4 linked regions of the Coturnix japonica genome follow. The protein of the gene in region 1 interacts with the protein of each later gene in a pairwise test. Links are inferred from orthologs where the notes say so. Each region holds a gene or a part of one and is shown on either strand. Other genes may lie near its edges.

The links.
Region 2: the proteins of MIPOL1 (region 1) and ENKD1 interact in binary tests that used the Homo sapiens proteins (3 or more experiments, as listed by UniProt). The two-hybrid records come from large-scale screens. The link is inferred for Coturnix japonica from reciprocal best matches to the Homo sapiens genes MIPOL1 and ENKD1.
Region 3: the proteins of MIPOL1 (region 1) and TTC12 interact in binary tests that used the Homo sapiens proteins (3 or more experiments, as listed by UniProt). The two-hybrid records come from large-scale screens. The link is inferred for Coturnix japonica from reciprocal best matches to the Homo sapiens genes MIPOL1 and TTC12.
Region 4: the proteins of MIPOL1 (region 1) and UTP25 interact in binary tests that used the Homo sapiens proteins (3 or more experiments, as listed by UniProt). The link is inferred for Coturnix japonica from reciprocal best matches to the Homo sapiens genes MIPOL1 and UTP25.

Annotation. Positions count from the first base shown.
Region 1 is NC_029520.1:33,520,957-33,526,042, reverse strand, and holds the start of MIPOL1 (mirror-image polydactyly gene 1 protein), read right to left. Parts: upstream 3,266-5,086; 5' UTR 3,158-3,265; intron 3,036-3,157; exon of another isoform or gene 2,969-3,035; intron 2,226-2,968; exon of another isoform or gene 2,135-2,225; intron 1-2,134.
Region 2 is NC_029526.1:1,872,493-1,877,753, forward strand, and holds the start of ENKD1 (enkurin domain-containing protein 1), read right to left. Parts: upstream 3,568-5,261; 5' UTR 3,542-3,567; coding exon 3,416-3,541; coding exon of another isoform or gene 3,354-3,415; intron 3,341-3,353; exon of another isoform or gene 3,321-3,340; intron 3,298-3,320; exon of another isoform or gene 2,768-3,297; coding exon 2,697-2,767; exon of another isoform or gene 2,637-2,696; intron 1,805-2,636; coding exon 1,710-1,804; intron 1,576-1,709; coding exon 1,351-1,575; intron 1,036-1,350; coding exon 863-1,035; intron 1-862. Other genes in the region: uncharacterized protein LOC116653968, read left to right, coding at 3,925-3,964, 4,068-4,394, 4,486-4,580, 4,987-5,190. UniProt on the Homo sapiens protein: Microtubule-binding protein which regulates microtubule organization and stability. Promotes the stability of astral microtubules and facilitates the proper orientation of the mitotic spindle.
Region 3 is NC_029539.1:5,037,339-5,041,892, forward strand, and holds part of TTC12 (tetratricopeptide repeat protein 12), read right to left. Parts: coding exon 4,390-4,554; intron 3,530-4,389; coding exon 3,460-3,529; intron 2,449-3,459; coding exon 2,360-2,448; intron 1,793-2,359; coding exon of another isoform or gene 1,790-1,792; coding exon 1,624-1,789; intron 647-1,623; coding exon 554-646; intron 333-553; coding exon 269-332; intron 1-268. UniProt on the Homo sapiens protein: Cytoplasmic protein that plays a role in the proper assembly of dynein arm complexes in motile cilia in both respiratory cells and sperm flagella.
Region 4 is NC_029518.1:20,182,425-20,186,798, forward strand, and holds part of UTP25 (digestive organ expansion factor homolog), read right to left. Parts: intron 4,160-4,374; coding exon 3,940-4,159; intron 1,939-3,939; coding exon 1,736-1,938; intron 258-1,735; coding exon 75-257; intron 1-74. UniProt on the Homo sapiens protein: Component of the ribosomal small subunit processome for the biogenesis of ribosomes, functions in pre-ribosomal RNA (pre-rRNA) processing. Essential for embryonic development in part through the regulation of p53 pathway.

The sequences.
Region 1 (5,086 bases):
ACTCTTCATTTACACACATACCAACTGCCATGCCCTATTCCCTTTCCCCAAGCCAATCCAAGCCAACCCAGTACCATTTTTTAGATTCATGGTTAACAACAGAAACTGTGGGTTTGGTCTCACAAAGTGAAGTCCATACATATATCCCAACCACAAAACAGTTCTTTGGTACTTAACCTCCTCTTTTCAAGAGGACATTATTATTTATAAACTAAAATACAAATCAATGTACATCACTGGATTTGTACATTTAAAAAAGACCATTAAAAATTCCATCTCTTGGCTTCAAGTGCAAAAACCCTCGATCCCTTATTTAGCTTCCTCATGGCAGAACATAACAGCATCTCCAGTTTATATTCCCACACAACTGTGCCATCCTTCCATTAATTCCAACAGGAACTGCCACCCCCTTCCTCCAAAGAACTAATCGATAACCAAACATTTTAATCTTTCTTTGTCCCAGTATTACTCTACTGAGGCAGATTAGATTTTTCTAATTTATTTCACACTTAACATTTAAATTAGAGCATAGCTGGCAGAAATATTACTACTTAAATGAATGTGTAACTTAAAGATCAAATTCTATCCTCAACAGATTTACATAAAAGCACAGAAAGGATAACATTTGTCTACCAGCATGTTATGTGGATCTCCTTAACTCAATTTACTATGGATTTCAGGTGCAAGAATTAATGCCCCTCCAGGAGCTGAAGTCATTACCAATTACTTCTGCCACACCTGCAACATAATCCTATTTTCTTGTAACTAGTGGAAGTTTTGCCACTTGCTTGAAGACAAGTTGTATTTATCCTTTGATTTGCTACTCTAGCAAAACGATGTCATAGATGCAGGCTTCTTTCTAATAAGAAAATGAGATTATGAACCCATGTCATGAAATTTATTCCCTGCTAAAATTGAGATCCACATACATATTGATAATTTTAACTATATAAAAAGTTGCCAACAGAATTATGTCTGTCAACGTGAACTTATAGCATAAATTTTAACAACAATGTTGACTCATTTTGTCAATGTCACTTTGTCACAATGTCATTTTGTCACTTTTTTCTTTAGACAACTCCTTAAAAACTGTGCCCTATGGGTACCAATGCTCCTTCTTTAATATCTTTACAAGACTCCTTTTTGTTACAGGACTTCCCAACAGGCTGACACATACCAATATTGTCAGCTGCACTCTCACTCTGAATGGATTCCCATACACACAGGAACACTTTCTTTTTAAGAATTGCCTAAACAAAACAACAACAAAAGCATATCTGCCTGCCTACAGGCTGACTTGTTTTTATTTTTTGACTTGTTAAAATCGTGTTACTGCTGTGTTACATGGCAGACTCAAAAGAGGAAACCAGATGCTAGATCTTCTTATGACGTTAAGTTGAATGTCCACTTGGGGACTCCACCATTCAATCCCTTCCCTACTCTGTAATCCACAGAAACATACATGCAACCTGTCTTTACCAGACACATAAAAATCTATGTTAAAAGCCACCATCAAGAAGTCTAGTTAGTTCTGAAAACTGCAGATGAATATTTTTTGAAGTTTCATTTTCTACCCACTATAGTGGCAGAAAGAGTTGTTCTCATTGCAGACTGTGACGGGAATGAGAAACGGGCTATAATAACAAATATGGTGTTGCTGCATGAAAAACTTCAACAATTATAAGAATGGTAGACAGAAATGTACACAATAAGGAGCTGCTCGTTAAGTATAAGAGACTATATCACCTTCTTGACCACGAGATCCGCTAGGTTGGTTTGAGGCTTACTACCCCTCAAACTGTTTTTTTTTAAATTATTATTATTTATAATAAACTAGACAAAACAAGTAAGAAAAGGGCAGGAGGTCAGATGGGTGCTCTGCTCCTGTATGTTCTTGGCTCAGGCAAGTAAAGTTCTGGAAGGACAGCAGTCTCTTCGGTAATGCTGTCGCTGTTCAGATGCAGCGCAGCTTTACAGCTCCACCTTCTTCCCCCAAACCTGCAGCAGAAGCTGCAACTTCTGAAATATGGTACGTGATTGTTAATGCTTAGCCCTTCCATTCACTTGCTATACTGCACCTAGAGCTGCAGTCACTTATCCTCAGCTGGACAGGTAAGGCAAATGTATCACTTACAAGAGAATGAAATCGGTGATGGGCAGAAGAGCTGCTTCGTGCCACCACGCTCGCGGAACTGCCTGTGTGCACGGTTCAGCTTCACACCTCTGCCTAATGGCTGGAGGGCCTCATTGTGCATGGCTACCTTTTGTTATGCAAACAAAACAAAACTAAGAACAGACCGGCCAGCCACTTCACACAGCATGTTTATCTTAACAATTTACACTTCCTTTTAACTTTCCCTAACAGTTTACAAAATATTTAAGCCAGCGACAGCACGTGTTAAAATGAACAAAGAAAAGAAAAACGGTCGATCCCAGGGTGCGCAATGCCAAAGTGAAACGTCCTCCAGGACAGAAGCAATCCTGCAAACTGCTCACATTCAAAAAATATCGTTCCTTGCTTCAAACGAAACACCTTTACACCACCATCAAGGAAACAGGCTCGTATAAAACTTACTTGAAGTACAAAACGGATGAGAACGCCTTAAAGATGTTTTCTTAAGTGATAAATTTTCAAAACAGAAGCATTAACTTTACTTTGGCATTTCTTAGTGTCTGGGGTTTTTGTTTTTGATTTATTTTCCCTCTCGATTCAATGCATTACAACTCCGAGTGCTGCCCGCAGCCTATTCTTGGTTGACTCTCAACACTCAGCTCTGACCTCCCCGCTTTGCGCGGGCGGGCTACACCCTGAGCTCCCCCCGTGATTTCTTCCCCCCGGAGGAGCAGCTGCCCATGGTGCCCTCTCCCACCGAGCTGACACCATTTCGCACTCCGAGCCGCGTACCCCCGCGCGGCCAACTCGCATCCCACTTTCCCTGCCATAAGGGGAACAACGACAAGCGCTTACTCCGACACCGGGCGCCCTTGGCTCGCACAGCCGCTGCCCGGCGACGGAGCAGGCCCGGAGGGAGGCGGGGAGGGCCGAGGGGGCGGGGAAGCTGCGGGCAGAGCACGGGGCCCCGCCGCGGGAGAGGGGCCGAGCTGGAACCCGAGCGGCGCGGAGCAGCCGAAGGAAGCGCCCCGCCAGCCCCGTTACCTGCGCGCTCCTCCCCCGCGGGCACGCTGCCGGCGTGCAGCCTTCACAACAAAGCCCCGGAGCTGCGGCCGCAGGAGGAGGAGAGCCGAACTCGCCACCACCGCGAGCGCGCAACGTGCAAGGGCTGGCGGCGGGGCCACGGTCCGAGGGCGGAGCCCAGCGGCACGGCACGGCACGGCACGGCACAGCTGCGGGGGTGGCTCGCGACTCGGGCCAGGCGATGCAGGACGGCAGGCGCCGCCGTGCGGGAGGGAGAGGCGGCGCAGGGCCGAGGTCTGCAGGGGGTGTGCGGACACAGCTGGCGTCTAGCCGGCCTGTCCTCCCACGCACGGGAAAAAGTTGTTTTCTTTTGGAGGGGTTAGCCCTGGAGTGCTGCCCAGGCTGGCGAGGAGCGGTATTCCCCGTCTATGGAGAAAGAAGCGCCGCATGCATGCATGGGTTTGAGAAGAGTCCATGTGGAAATGGGATTAAACCTGAAAGTGCTTTGGGAAACCTGCATAATGGGAACGCTGCCTATTGAGGGAGAACAGGGAGGGAGAAATGCAATACGTGAAAGAATTTTAGTAAGAGAATTTAATGATGCTGGCGTCAATAGATTTGTGTTTTAAATACAAGCAGGTTTTTATGTAAGCATTTTTATTGCAGTGACACCTTTTGCAGACAACATCTCTAACCAAATAGGTTCTTCATCTGATCAACTCCAAATTTTCTTGACCATTGAATAACTCCAACGAATCTAGCTTAATACCAGATCTGCTATTTGGATTAAAGGAGCATTGCATAGTGAGACCTACATCCCTGCAATAAGTGAATGTTTCAGCATCTGCTTTTTGTTGATACCAATCACTGGAGAACAAGTGATCCTGCTGTATATAACTGAGCAGCAGTCTCAAAGCACAAAACCAAGGGAACGGATACTAATGTTAATGAAACATTGAAGTTGAGATTTTAATTACTTAAATGTCAACACATTAAAAGTTCTTTAATTTTAGAAAGTTATTCTGCATTCCCACAGCAATTTCCACTCTGCTGTTACATATAGCAAAGAATTCAAGTAACTGTTTGCTGATGCATGCAAATTATCTATTATACCTCAATTTTATTGCTTTATTAACTCTTTTGCATATATTTTGTATGTTTTTGTGTTTTACAGTAACAATAAAAACTTCCTCTTGTTTTAAATTGTCAAAGGCTACATTTCATTTTAACCTCGGAACATCCAGTCACTTAGCAACATTTGTTGCTAAACTATCACAACACACTCACAGGCACTCCACAAACTGACAACAGAACACTACTTGAGGAGCAGACTTCAAGGAAGCATTTTCCAAAGGTATTTTTATTACGTTATATTTATGTTTTTACTTCCAAATCCTAAGGCACCTGCAATTGCTTCTCAAAACAAGAAAACATTTGGAAAGGTTTGGCAAATGATTCTCAGAAAGATGAATGAAGGGGATGAAAGTACTGCAGTTTCAAAACCTTATGCACAAAACCCATTGGTAGGCTGTTGAAGAATCCACCCTTCTCAGATTGTGCCTCACTGTAGAACGCTATGGGTTTCTGTGTGTACACAGGTTACTTACTGAATGGACAAGCCTTCTGTTGGCTTATTAACAGTATTAGAGGGAAAAATGGAGAAGACGAAGAGAAACCACAGTACTACTCAGAGTCAGCAAAAAGATAGGAACAACAGACATGTTGACATGGGTACCTATGCTCACTGCCTAGCCACAAGATTAAATGTCCTTGGGTGCTCCACATCCACACAGGTGACATGACCTGCCCTTCCCTTCAGCTGAGTAGCCCTGCCCACACAGTCTCTAGGGAAGCGTGTTTGGCCAGTACCACCCCCTGTGTTGTGTCCTGGCATCTTCTGAAAAGCAGAGGTTGGCCTTGGCAGGAGTAACACTAGGGACTGTCAGAACC
Region 2 (5,261 bases), on another chromosome or scaffold:
GCACAGAGAGAACACCCCCACCCCACAGAACAAAAGAGGATCTCAATCATCCTCTGATCCTGAGGGTTTGTCAAACAAGAGCGTAGGCTTGTATTCATTCCTAAGGCACAGGTGGGTTTGCTCCTGCATGTGGAAGGTCATAGACACCAGTGAGCAGGTTGGTGGTGCACCAGAAAGAAGGGGCAAGGCTTCTGGAACTGCTTGGAAATCACCTTTGTAGCACCACCTTGTTGGCTCTAGGGACACAGAATGGAGGGAAGTGATGAGGAGATGAGGAGGAACCTGAAGCATCAGCTCAGCTGTGAAGCAGCAAGGAGGGTGTTGCTCAAGTGGTGATGCCCAACACATCACCCAGCTTCTCCTTGGTGCAGTTTGGAAAGCCCCCAACAGATGTGTTACTTAAACACCAGGAAAGAAAAAACTACCCAGAGAAAGGAAAAGAAAGAAGCCAAAAGCAAAGCAAAATCTACAGGAGAGCGGACACCACTGGGAACAGAAACTGTGCCTGTTCCAGCTCAGTACACAGTTGGTAAAACCCAACTGCGTGTCCACAGGGTCCTGAGAGCTGGCACGAAGCCTGGAACAGCCTGAATCTCTTCTTATCTGCCCCGGTGCCATGCAGAAAGGGTGAGGATAAGGATCTGTGGGGCACAACACCACTGGCTCTTGGCACGAGCCCCAGACGTGGAAAGCTGAGAAGCCAAGTGGCTGCACCTCAGGACAGGGATAAGCTGAGGGCTGCTCTGCACCACGCCAAGAACTGCCCTCAGATTGCTACGACAGGAGGCAGCAGGCAGAACGGGTGATGGGATTTTATTCTTCTGACCCGCCAGGAGAGTTGAAGAGCCCCCTGGGCACACACCTGCAGTCTGGCCTTCACCTTCGACTCCACGTTCTCATATTTCTGGGATTTCCATAGAGCTTTCACAGGTTTGGGCTGGCTGCGCTCCTGGGCTCGCTCCCTCTCTTTGCACTTCTTCTGAATCTCCTTTATTCTCCTCACGTTTTCCTTCTCATGGTCCTTGGACTCTTTCCCTGCACAGCGAGGGGAGACACAGCTTTCAGCCCTCAAACACTGCCAGCAGACGTAGGCTCCTGGATCACAACACCAGAGCTGACAGCTCCATCTCTAAATCCACCCGTGGAAACAGCAAGTCCTCCCCCCACCAAAGACCACACAATCTGTGCATTCTGCCCCCCATGCTGGGAGGGCTGACCCTGTTTTTGGAAGACCTCAGCTGGTTCCCTTCCAGTTTTGGCACAGTGGTTGTGGCAACCACCACACTGGCACCATCCAGAGCCTGGGGCAATGCCAGGATACAAAGCCAATAAGAGCCAGGCAGCACTTACTCTTTGCTGGCAGACCCCCACCAAGAGAGAGCCCATCGAGCTGCAGCAGGAGGCCGAGCGTTCCCTTCTGCCCCTTCTCCAAGTAGTCCCTCCCGCTGGGGCGGATGCGAGGGGCTGGTTGGGGCTGCTGGGCACTGCTCAAAGCACGGGCTGAGCTGGGAGCTGAATCCGTGGGGTGAGAGGTAAAATCCAACCGCTGAGCATTGCCTTCCAGCCTCCCCCGAGCTACAGAGAAAGAAAGAAACAAAAAGCAGGTTGGCACCATCTCACATCACTGCTTTCTTCAAGCAAGTGATGCCAAAGGTCCCCCTGCACCTCTGCCTCATGTTTTCCCTTCTTATAAGCACCCAAGGACTCACCTGAGAAAGGGCGTCTGTAATAGTCTGGGAAGACCGTAGGGTCTGGAGGGATGGGCCCAGAAATCTTGGATGGCCCTTCACACATTCTGCTGTCTCTGCAATGGAAACCGACCATGAGTGAGAGGTGAACTAAACACAGCTCACGGAGCCACTGCAGAGCTGCAGCTAATGTCAGAGAGCTCATATCCAACTGCAGGGACAACCTGCAAGTAGGAAACAACCCCAAATGGACCCCATGGCTGCCCAGTGCTGTGGGTGCCCATCCCTGCAGGTGCCCCAGGCTATGGATGGACCCTGGGCAGCCTGAGCTGGGGAGCAACCAGCCTCCAACAGGGCTTGGGGCTGGGTGGGCTTTGAGGTCCCTTGTAACTCAACCGTGCTGTGATTTCATGTAGGTAAGGCAAAGGATCCAGCAGCACCACCCCTACTGCAGGACTGACCAGCACTGATCCTCAATGTCTGCCTACAGCTTCAGCACAGAAAATCTGACTCCTGGGTCTGCAATACCAACAGATTCAGCCCTATGGGAAGAGCCCCTTTTAGGATCCTCAGCATTCCAGCACTGACAGGACACAGCATCTCCCATTTCATTTAGAAACCAATAAACAACCAGTGCAAGGCTGAGCGAGCCTGACTCATAGCAACTAATGCACTGCTGTCTTCCCTGTTCAATTACCCTTGTTGACATGAGACCCATTAGCAAAAAGCTATTATTCATCTCCCAGACACAACTGCAGAGGCAACGCAAGCAGTGCAAGCACTGCACACCAGCAGGCATGTCCAGAGGCTGCTTTGTACCCAGTCATCCTGCAAAGGCTACTCCTGAAATGCTTCAGAGTCTCAGGCTGCAGTAAAACAGCACCATTCTCTTCTTATTTAATCCCATTTAAAATGGACAGAGCTAAGCCAGAATGGACTCTCTTATACCAAGAACAAAAGCATCCTCCAAGAGATGACTCCGGGATAGTTACTGGCCTTGAGACTCACATCTGATCTCGGTCTGAACTCTCCTCCAACGCCAGTAATTTAGGTGCAAAATGACAGAGTGAAAGCAGGCCCTGTAACAGAGCAGGCAATTAGAGCAGGGGGGGCTGGAGGGGGAAAGGCAGGCAGATGGGATGGGAGGTGGGGGATGGAAGGCTCCTCCTGTACCTGAACACAGGGCCCACATCCCAGTGGCACCCTGCCCTGCTGCAGGCAGCCTGCAGATGACACCCACACCCTGATTTACAAGTCACGCTGCCTCTGGCTTTGGATCTCACAAGATCACACAGCACTATGACAGTGCTTTGCCTATCTGGGTGCTCACAGCAAACCCTCCCATGTGGGACAACAGCCCCCAGCATCCCCAGCATCATCATCATCATCTGGCCTTAGGATGAAGCATCCAAACCTACAGCTCCCTAGAGCAGGATTTGCAGGTGGCTGCTTTGCTCCTATCGGTGGGACAGCAGGGCTGGAGGATGGGGCTGTTTGGAAGCTGAGGGCTGAGCAGGCTGCATCCCACCCAGCTGCAACCCCACGCAGGAACCAGAGATGCACCGTGCAAGCAGGAGGAGAGCAGCAGGAGCACGTGGCTACAGGTGGAGCAAGGCCAGCCCTAATATGCACCTAGGAAAGCATCTGTAAAGCTGTGTTAGAAACCTGAGCATCAAAAGCAGCTGTTGCCAGCAGCAAACAGATGTACGTGAGCAGCTCCTGCTCACCCGGGCTGCAGGGGGGGCAGGGAAACTGAGCTGCCCGCAGTTCGCTCCTCCCGGCCGTTCCTCTTCCAGCACAGCTCGGTGCCACCCACCGGAGCTGCGAGCCCGGCCGGGGAGCTGCGACCTCATGCGGAGCTGGAGCTGCGTTGTTCGGCTTTGTGCTGCTCCGAGCCCGGTTCTGCAAAAAGCACGGGGGGAACAAAGGAATAAATGAATCCATCTGTGGATAAACTGCGATAAGAGCTGCGATAAGAGCTGCGATAGGAGCTGCGAGCAGCAGAGCGAGACAGCCGGGGCCGAGCAAAGCGCTCGTGGCAATTGGGCCGTTGGCTCCTTCCCTACCGTTATGGGCGGAAGGAACCGGGTCAGAACCGCTGCGGGGGGACGGGACGGGATGGGATGGGATGGATGTGATGGGATGGGATGGGGGAGGATGGAGGCACCCGCCGGGCTCCGGCCGCACCGCACGCACCCACCGCGCTCCGGGCAACCGCCGCTTCCGCCGGGGGGGGATGTTGGGGCCGTGCCGGGCTGAGCCCCGCCTGCACGGAGGTGTGGGCACGATGGGCGGCTCGGATCGGCCCCGCTACGGGCCGGGCTTAGTGCCGCGCTGTTGCTGCGTTCCCCCGGTAACGCCCCCCCGTCCATCCCGCAGCCTCCTCCCGGCCGCTGTCGGATCCCGGCGCTGCTCCATGTCCGCCCCAACGCAGGACGCAAAGTGAGGCGGCCCGTCCCCTTCGGGAGCCGGCTTCGTGCTGCACCGACCGCCGTGTTGAGCCGCACGGCGCAGCGCTGGCCATGGCCTGCAGCACATCCCTGTCCCGCAGGACTCACCTGCAGGTGCTGCAGGACCCCGGTTTGCAGCCCCCCGCTGCTGAGGGCGATGCCAACCCCGCTGCCGAGCCGCAGGGAAAGAGCAAGAAGAGGAAAAGCACGAGCAACACGCAGCCGTGCAAAAAGGTCCCACCTCGGGACGCGCTGGGTGAGCACCCATAGGGAACAGGGCAGCAGGTCGGAGCTCCGTCATCTTTCAGGTCCCTTCCAGCCTAAACCGTTCTGTGATTCCCCTCCAGGCCGGCTGCCACGTCTGCGCCCCTTGTATCAGTACATCAACCTCAGCACGGAGCTGATGTGCCCAGCAGGAGGGGAAGGGGAAGGCAGGCAGCAGGTAGGGCAGCTGCTCCAGGGCTGGAGAGAGAAGTCCAGCAAGGCTCAGTGAGCACGATGCATGGTTGGGAGCCCCTCTGACATGCAGGGCCAGGCACAGAGCACTCTGTGCCAACCAGGCCAGCAAGGAGGGGAATGACTTGCCAGCAGGTCATGGCAATGGGGAGGGAGCAGAGATGTGCAGGATGCTGTGGCTCAGCCCCTCAGAGATGGAGGCTTTGCCCTCGTGTGTGCCACTCTGGGTGTTCCCAGGGGCCCCAGCGCAGGCATAAAGGAGGTCTCCCAGTTCAGGAACAGCTTCAAAGCAGATCCAGCATCAGCAGGAATGAAGTCAGACCGATCTGTGAATGAAGGCAGGGACTCTTCCAGGTGAGCTCAGGAGACATTATCTCACCTGCTTTCCGTAGCACACAGCCAGCACTGACAGGAGATGCTCAGAGCTGCAGCAGGATCAGCAATCCTCTACCTGGAAAGCATTGCAGGAAGATGCTGAACTGCCACTGGTGCAGCTGGAGGGAACAGCGCGTCATTTACACCCATCTGCTTCCTTCCTTCAGCCCACAGCTGATGAGTGCTCAGAGCCAAGGACCAAGCAGGCTCCCACCCTTTAGAACAGCACATCAGGACACTTGTTTATGTTGAAAGGAAATAAATACCTGCAAGTAAATGTCTCATTTAGAGA
Region 3 (4,554 bases), on another chromosome or scaffold:
TGGCTGTGTGCAGGGACGGGGCACCACCGCCTCTCTGGGCAACCTGTGCCAGTGCCTCACAGCCCTCAGTACCAAACCTTCTTCCTTATCTCCAGTCTCAATCTCCCCTTTTGTAGTCTGAAGCCATTTCCCCTTCTCCTATCACAACAGAACCCCCCAAGGAGTCTGTCTCCTTTCTTCTTACAGTCCCTTTCAATACTGGAAGCAGTTGTCATGAGACACGTTAAAGAAGAACATGTTGGAAACACAGAATTAAGACCTTTCATACCAGCAGTTGGGTGAACAATGGTAAAACAGATGTGGAAAACATGAGGCGACACTGTGCTTTGAACCTGTTGAGGATAAAGAAAGCCATGTTTGGACAGTTAGAGCTTTAGCACAACAACAACAACAACAACCAAACAGAGAAAAGCAACAGAACAGCAACATACACAGAAGGTAAACTGAGTAAAGAGGGCAAAATGGCAAAGAAGGCTGGCAGCCTCTATCACAAGGTCATTTAGTATTTACTACTGTAACTGATTTAAAAAAATAATGAAAAAGTGCTAGTTACTTTTCTTCTTGAATTAAATCTGACAGGACACTCATGGCACTGCCAGCCCTGGCATCAGCGCTGTTGACGAACATCATCAATATCTGCAGCCATCTGTTATTAATACATAAAGAGACAAAAAAAACTATATGTCAGCTTTGGCCGAATTATTAAAGACATTTGCAGGGAAGATCACTGTGATGACTGTGTGCTTTAGAAGGACGTGCTGAGCAAACCCCACAGTCCTGGGGGGTGAGTGGGTGTTTTAACTAAAAAGCTTTACAGGTCTTGGGATGAACATTGCATGTAACACAGTGAAGTCTGTACATCCGTTGGAGAATCTGTACTGTTTATCAACCAGTTTAAACCTCTTATTGCAAAGTAGCACATTAAAATTTTCTCCTCTGCTCAACAGGTTAACTGGGGAATGGTTTTAAACTTGGAAGAGGGTAGATTTAGACTAGATATAGGGAAGAAATTCTTTACTGTGAGGTTGGTAAGACACTGGAGCAGGTTGCCCAGTGGGGTTGTGAATGTCCCCTCCCTGGAAGCATTCAAGGCCAGACTGGATGGGGCTGTGAGCAACCTGGCCTAGGGGGAGGTGTCCCTGCCTATAGCAGGGGGTTGGAATTAGGTGATCTTAAAGAGCTCTTCCAACCCAAACCATTCTATGAAGGAAATGGCAGGACAAGAGCTAAGAGCTAATAGGCTTTTTATTCTCCACTTAGCCAGATGAGGAGAGAGCAGCTGCTTGAAAGCATGAGCTATCAAGGGGCAACAATGTAAGCTCTTACTGGAATGCGAGGGACACAGCCTTACTGGTTATAAACCCATAACTATACTTCAAAGTTAAACCTCTTCAGAAAGTGCCTCCTGCTTATCTTCACAGACATCTCCAGGAACAAAGTTTGTTTTCCCCATGCACCTCACTTCCACTTCTGCTCACCTTGGCTTAGGTCTCAACATCACCACGTCCCTTTCAGAAGCCTGTCACCCACCTGCTGCTCTGCTTGATGCTAGTGGAGTGAGCTTTGGACCTCTGCAAGCCCAGGGTTAAGGGAGTCTTACCAAATAATAGTTGCCTTTGTTACCTGGATAGGTCCTGGTGCTTGACCAACAGTCTCCTCCCATTCTCATTATCTGAATAGAGAGCAATTAGTGCCAGTGTCTCCTTTTGGATCTCCAATACACCGGAACACAGCAGTTCCAACAGCTGTGCATTCACATCAGGGTGAGTTAACAGCAGCCGCTGGTTTTCTTCTGAAAAAAGAGGGAATCTAAGCACAGCGTCACAAGTGATGAAATCCCAACCGTCACTCCTGCTCTCACTAACTACACACTTCCTTGTGCATCCACTGGACCCAGCAACACACAAGTCAACAGAGGTGCAGGCACCAAGCCCTCTTTTCCTTGTGGCAGTTTGCACCACTTCACCACTCCATCCCACTCCTGACCTCCCTGCAGACCTCAGAAAACCAACGCCTTAATGGTGATGCCAAAGGAATCCACCCTTCTCTAACAGCACTTCTGCTTTTTACAGGTAGAACTGCTTAAAAAAGACAAAACAAATGTGATCTTAAGAGCCAGCAATAATCACAGGGAATTGACTTCCAGCCCCTTTAGCATATATAAGATGTGCACAGGGCTGGAAACTCAGCCCTGTTCTGAAGCACTACCCAGCAGTGCTTCAACCCCCAAAAAGCTTTGCTGACAGCAAGGCCTAGACCCAAGTGCTCTGGGAAAGCAATGCTTGTACCAAAAAACAACTCTAAACCCAGACTGTGCCATATTACCATGAACAATTATTAATGTTGATCACATCTTTACCATTCCCAGCGCAGACAGCTTGCCAAAGGGAGAGAAGACAAACACAGAGATCCACTTCAGCAGCGCTCTTTCTTTCTGCACAGAAGCTCCTAAATGAGAAATGTTAGCTTGCAAAAGGAACCCAAGGCAGATGAAACAATGAGGGTTAGATCTTTGGCTGGGGACATTGGGAAAGCCTCACAGCAATGAGGATCTGCCATACAAGCACATAAGCTCGTCAGCTCTAGCAACAGCTCATTAGTTAAACATTTTCAGACGTTGAACCAGACCTGCTTTCCAGACAATCTCCTCCAATGCCAGACTGATGTTCTACTGAACCTACACCACCCCCTGAGCACACACAGAGCTCCTGCAGTCAGTAAGCAGCACAAGTGGTGCATTCAGTTCTGCACTGACATGACTGTGCTGAGCCAGGACGTGAGAGCATGGTGCAAATCTAGGAGGACACAGCAGCAGCAAACAACTCTTCCCTTTTCCAACCAGATCACACTGTTCTGAACCAACTTAGTTGTACCAAATTTTCAGATCACATCTTTTCTGTGGATCTTGCTTGTGTCTGTCATCTACCAGGCAAGAGATCCCTCACGGGACAAAGCTTAGAAAGCAATTGAACTGGATTTGTGTCTTGGTTACCAAAACACCATCTAATGGTTGCCCAGAACACACAGCAGCAGAGAACACAGGTCCCAGAGGGAATCCTCCTCCTCAGTTACAGGACTGAAGAGTTTTACATGTTGCATTGCAGAGCTGAGGTGAGACATTTACTGATGCCCAGCCAGACACACTTAAGGCAACTACACTTTTACATCAGCTGTTTTCTTACAGTAAGCTTTACCAGCTTTGCTCTCACCGTTAGAGATAGGGGAACCGCACAGAAATAGGAGATCAGAGACAGGAGCAGAAACTCATGAGTCCACTGAATCCAAGAGAGTCCTATTTGTTTGGGTCAAATACAAGTCAGTCTATTCAGACATTACAACCAGTTATTCCCTTATCTTGTGATCATCTGCATTTCGTGAGGCGATTGAGTTTCTTGAAAACAACATAGTCACTTCCTCATGCTATAACGTGCTACTGTTCTCTTCTGGAACTTCTCTTACCGTCTTATGACCTTGTTGTCATTGATGATACTGAACCCATTGTTTGTTCTAAATAAAGTTTGCTCAGTGCCTGAAAAGAGGCAGAGAGAAACAAGTCAGCTCCGTGAGCCATCTGGCCGACTCACCATGATGAAGGCAGACACCTGCTCTGCTGCAACACAGCGTTGAAGGAAAAGGTCACTGGATCAACAGCTTTGGGGAAAGGAGGTTTGCATTGTGAAAAGAGGGGAAAAACTTCAAGAGCGCTTGAAGCAGAAACAGCTTTGAAGTGGAAGACCACTCTAATTGATGCCTGGTGCAGTGGAGAATGATTGACTTCATTTTCAAGAGTTTTTATGAGGACTTAAACAGGAGACTGGCCTTGCAAATCATTGTTCTTCAACAGAGAACTGCTAACTTTTCAAAAGTAATTTGAGACCTCTTAAATTATAGTGACAGGACAAGGAGGAATGGCTTTAAAGTGAAAGAGGGGAGCTGTGGGTTAAATATGAGGAAACAATCCTTTCCTCAGAGGGCGGTGAGGCGCTGGCACTGCTGCCCAGAGAGCTGTGGGTGCCCCATCCCTGCAGGCACTCAAGGCCAGGTGGGATGGGGCCCTGGGCAGCCTGAGCTGGTGGGGGCAGCCCTGCCCATGGCTGGGGGTGGCACTGGGTGGGCTTTGAGGTCCTCTCCAACCTGAGCCATTCTATAGTTCTATGACATGACCAAATCCTTAAGAAGTATCAACAGCTCAGCTACAGAATTGGTTTAGCTATAAAAAGAAACATGGAAACATCCACTGTACATAAACGCTGAAATAGCAAACACCATTTGTTGTATTTTTTTTTTAAAACAGGAATAGGTTTTTGGTCTTTCAAAAACTATTGCAGTCATATTCATCCTCCCAGGTTACAAACCCCCACAGAAACAAGGTTTGCATCACACACTCACACTCCTTTATGGCTCCTGTCAGAACCTGGATCCCTCCCATGTAGTAGAGGATATTCTGGTCAGGCCTGTCGAGTTTCTGCAGCAGATCTTTAATGGACAGAGCTGCGTGTTCTCCGGACTGAAATGCTTTCATCGCTCTGTCTTCCTCTTGCATTCTTTTTTCCT
Region 4 (4,374 bases), on another chromosome or scaffold:
TTCCATGCTGGCTTCTCTGCTCCTCTCCCCCTTCATTATGCCTAAAGGCGGCCTCAGCTTTGACATGAACTCACCTGCCCCATGTAATTGAAGCAGTGTTTGTTGAAGATAGCATTAATCTGGGGATCTTGAAGAGCACTGAACAGCAGCGTCTGGCGGTAGTACTTGGACCAGTTATTGAGGTTTGGCATTCGCACTCGGGAAAAGTCTACCCCATGGGAATCCAAAGGCAGCAGGTTAATGTGCTTCATCAGGTGCTACACAGAGACAGAAACATACTGCTGCAGACTGACATAATTGCATCCAGACTGCAAAGAGCCTTAACTGCAGCAAGAAAGTGGACAAGGATAAGCAAGACAGCACAGAATGTAACAGCAGTGATTGCCCAAGATGACTGCCTGGGATTTATTGACCCCATCAAGAGTAATTTACCTAATTTCATTCCACGGGACTCAAAACTGCCATCTCCTCAGCCATCAGTAACAGCAGCCTTTGCTTCTAATCCTCTCCCGTGGGGGAAGCCTAATGGATCTGTTTGTATGTACTGACGTCAGCAGGTCCAAGGTTTCTGAGCTAGAAGCAGCTGAACTGCTGCTCCTAATGCATGAAGGGGCAACCTGGCAATGCCCAGGACTGGTACTGCTGCTGCTGCACAGCAGACAAATGCACTCAAACAAAAACAAAAATGGAAAATGGGCTCCAGGACACTCCAGGAGCATCGTGTAGGCTCATGAGCCTTTGCCAGGACTCCCCAGGAAATAAGACACTTTCAGGCTCATTTAAAATGTACAGTAATGCCAGGCTGCCAAAATGATAGGTTCAGATTCCTCAAAGGTGTTTCTATATGAAATACACAAACAAAAACAACTCCAAACTTTCAAGCTTGAAAACTTCTATTAACCTGCGGCCATAAAACATGGGCATTACCACATACTGGTGGCAATCCTAAAGCTTTATTCATTATACACGCAGGATAAGTCTGTTTCAATTAGGACATGACTAATGCTCGGCGGCTCTACTGTCAATGGCAACAAGCACCAGTGCCCACTGCTTTCTGGAAGAACCTCAGTGAGGTTGGACAAACTCCTCACACAGCTGTGATCTGAGACACGGTGCAGTCAGACAACTGGCAGATTTTCCCCCAGAGGTGACTAAAGGAATCATAACCATCTAATCCTGCAAAATAATTATAGTTGTCAAATAAAAAGCCACTGAAAAAAAAAAAAAAGCCAGTCAATAAAAAAATAAACCCAACCTCACAACCAAACTACGATGAAATACAATAGTAATGCACCGTATCACAGAGTCATAGAACGGCCTGGGTTGGAAAGGACCACAATGATCACCCAGTTCCAACCCCCCTGCTACGTGTAGGGTCACCAGCCACCAGAGCAGGCTGCCCACAGCCACATCCAGCCTGGCCCTGAATGCCTGCAGTGATGGGGCACCACAGCCTCCTTGGGCAACCTGCCCCAGTGTGTCACCACCCTCTGTGTGCTTAACTTCCTCCTAATATCCAAATTCTAAGATCTACAGAGAACAGGTACTGAATACAACCAAAAGCTGCAAGGAAATTATTTGTAGTAAAAGGAAAATAAATATTGGTGGATGAAAATGAACAAACAAGTGTCTAGAATAAAGTCAGTAGAAAACAGCAAAACTATTCATTCCTAACAGTAAGTTGTAATTAGATGAACAAGACACAGTGCAACACAAAAAAACAGGGAAACCGTACCAGAACATGTTCCCAGTTCTGCATTAGGTAAATGTCTGCCTGATCAATTATGAGCATCTCTATGGATGACAGAAAATCGAAGTCTCTCTTCTTCTCTCCCTCTGCGCCAATGACAGTCCTCATACCCAGGGGAGAGGCAATAATGATGTCTGATGAATAAAACGGCGCATATAATCTCATGCTCTTTTGTAGAATAGCAACCCCTGTCAGAACACAAACAGCAGTTCTTAGTCAAAGTTAAGGGCCAACCATTTTCTTCCAGAAGACTCCATAACAGTAACTCCCTACATTTCCTCTCCCTTAGCACATGCTTGTGATTACAGCAGGACAAAACCAATCCAGCTGAAACTTCCCTGAGAATGTGCTTATCTACCCTTCCTCCATTTCATAAGCCTTTGGCAGATTTTCATTGCTAGAACTCTTCCAGCAGTTCTTTTTTTTCCTCAGCTTTTTCATAGCTTGCATGACATTATTGAGCCAAAATGCATTTCTCTTGATTTACTGTTAAAAAGAAAAATAAGAGGAAAGAGGGGCTAAAAAGATGAAAAAAAGCAGTAGAAATGATTAACTACTCCTTTTCACCCTCACCTCTAGGCTTTGGTCCACGTCATTATCTACTGTAGTAACAGTTATTTCAACCTGTCATGAAAGATTTAGCGTGGATCTCCTGAGCACTGATTGCTTTCATTCACAGGGCCACAGGAGACACTACTAAAAGACCAAGGACAAGGTTGATCATGTTACAAAGGCAGAAAACATAGACAGCCCTGCAAATTCTACCAGGAAGGTGCTAGCTGGCTTCTCAAGACACACGTTGCAGTGTCAACTAGCTCATGCATCACTTCTGATGATAAAGGAAAAGCAAGAAAGTAAAGGAGGAAATTGCTACCTATAACTATATGGACACACAGTTTTCTGATTTTAAAATCTCCATTTGGGCCACATTCAAACCACCCACTACACACTGCCCAACACAGGTGCCTTTTCAGCTTATTGCCCTGTCTGCCTGAAGCCAGCGACTATAAGCACATCTGAAGGCACGTCAAGAATTTCACACAGGCACCCATAGGGACATCTCCTGCTGGCTATTTTAACCCAATAATAAAATAATTAAAAGGTTGAATTTCCAGGAAAACAGCACTTATCTCAAAACATGTCGGCATATAAACATTTTGGTAATTCTAAATGTATTTGATTTAAAAATGGGAAAGGATGGTTTTAGTAAGGCATAACAAACATGCCCTGAATTCAATCTTAGTGCTGAAGTAACAGGATGCAAAGCACATTAGGAAGGAATAATTATGCTGCTTCTATGATTTGCTTCTGCAAGTAACAGCACCCAAAGTTCCCCCATGCATTTCTTCACACTCAGTAAGTGGATCGAGGAGACTGTGCTATAGGAGAGGACTGCAAGGCAAATTATTTTGCTACAAAATGTAAGATGTTCTCAGCAAGACAGATACTCACTGGGGAAGCATGAAAGATTGAGTGGGAACGACCTGCACCTTCCACACTATCATTATACCTCTTGGGATGCCAATTTATCTTTCAAGGGACAATCATTTCAAGAAGCTCTTATCTGTCAAGTTAGGTTAGAAAAAAACTGCCTACTCATTGTGGCAGCTCCGGGAACCAAACTAATTCTTTGCACACTGAGTTACTAAAACAGCTTGAAATTACTACAAAATAAGTCGTACATTTGCTGTTTGTCCAATGGTCCCAATTGCTGTCCATTCCTTACTGCTCATAAAAACCATGGGCAATACAGTAGAAAACTGCTTTGCTCAGTACTGAGCTTGAATTTGTTTCCACTGTTACTGATTTTAAGATACACCGTGAATACACTAACTTGACCTGAGATTTTATTGCTTTTTTTTACATAACATGGGTGATTTTGCTGCATAATCAAGATTATCCTCTTTCAAATGAGGTGCGGGCAACCCTGCCACAATAAAGCAATCACTGCATTTTAAGGGACTCCGAACTTGGAGTGAAAATGTTTACTTTTATATTTTCTCTTCTATTTTTTAATGGCAAGGAATGGAATATTTTCAGAAGTATTCATGATGCCACTGCAGACACAGCACAAATACCTCAGAGCCCCAATTCTCACCAGCCCCGATGGCTCCCAGACATTAAGGAAGAACCTGTTAGATTACCCCTCACTTCTTTATAAGCAAAACTCATGTTCTGTGGGTCATTACCAATTCTGAAGTGGTCATCAATGTTGCCAGCGAAGACGGCTTCATAATCTTCAGGTCTTTTCAGGTTGGGGGGCTTCTCGTCTGGGTCAGAACCAAACTCCCCTTTGAAGCGCTTCTTATTACTTACATCTATTTTTCTTTTCTCGTTCACTTCAAGAAGACTGATGAAAATATGCACAATTCGCAAAGCACATTCCCGGAAGGGCACTATTATCAGCACCTGCACAGATCAACAGTTACAACTGAACAACCCAAAAAACATCAATATCCACAGCTGAGCATGTTAAGTAACTGCTTTGTCTTTGAAGTGCCCACATTTGGGCCTCCCAGCAATCAAAACAAGCATCACCCTCCTTCCCTGACATAACCACTGTGCCTACGTGACAAAATAAGACCTCCCAGATAGGTCTAAACCCTGCAGCCATGGCATGTACT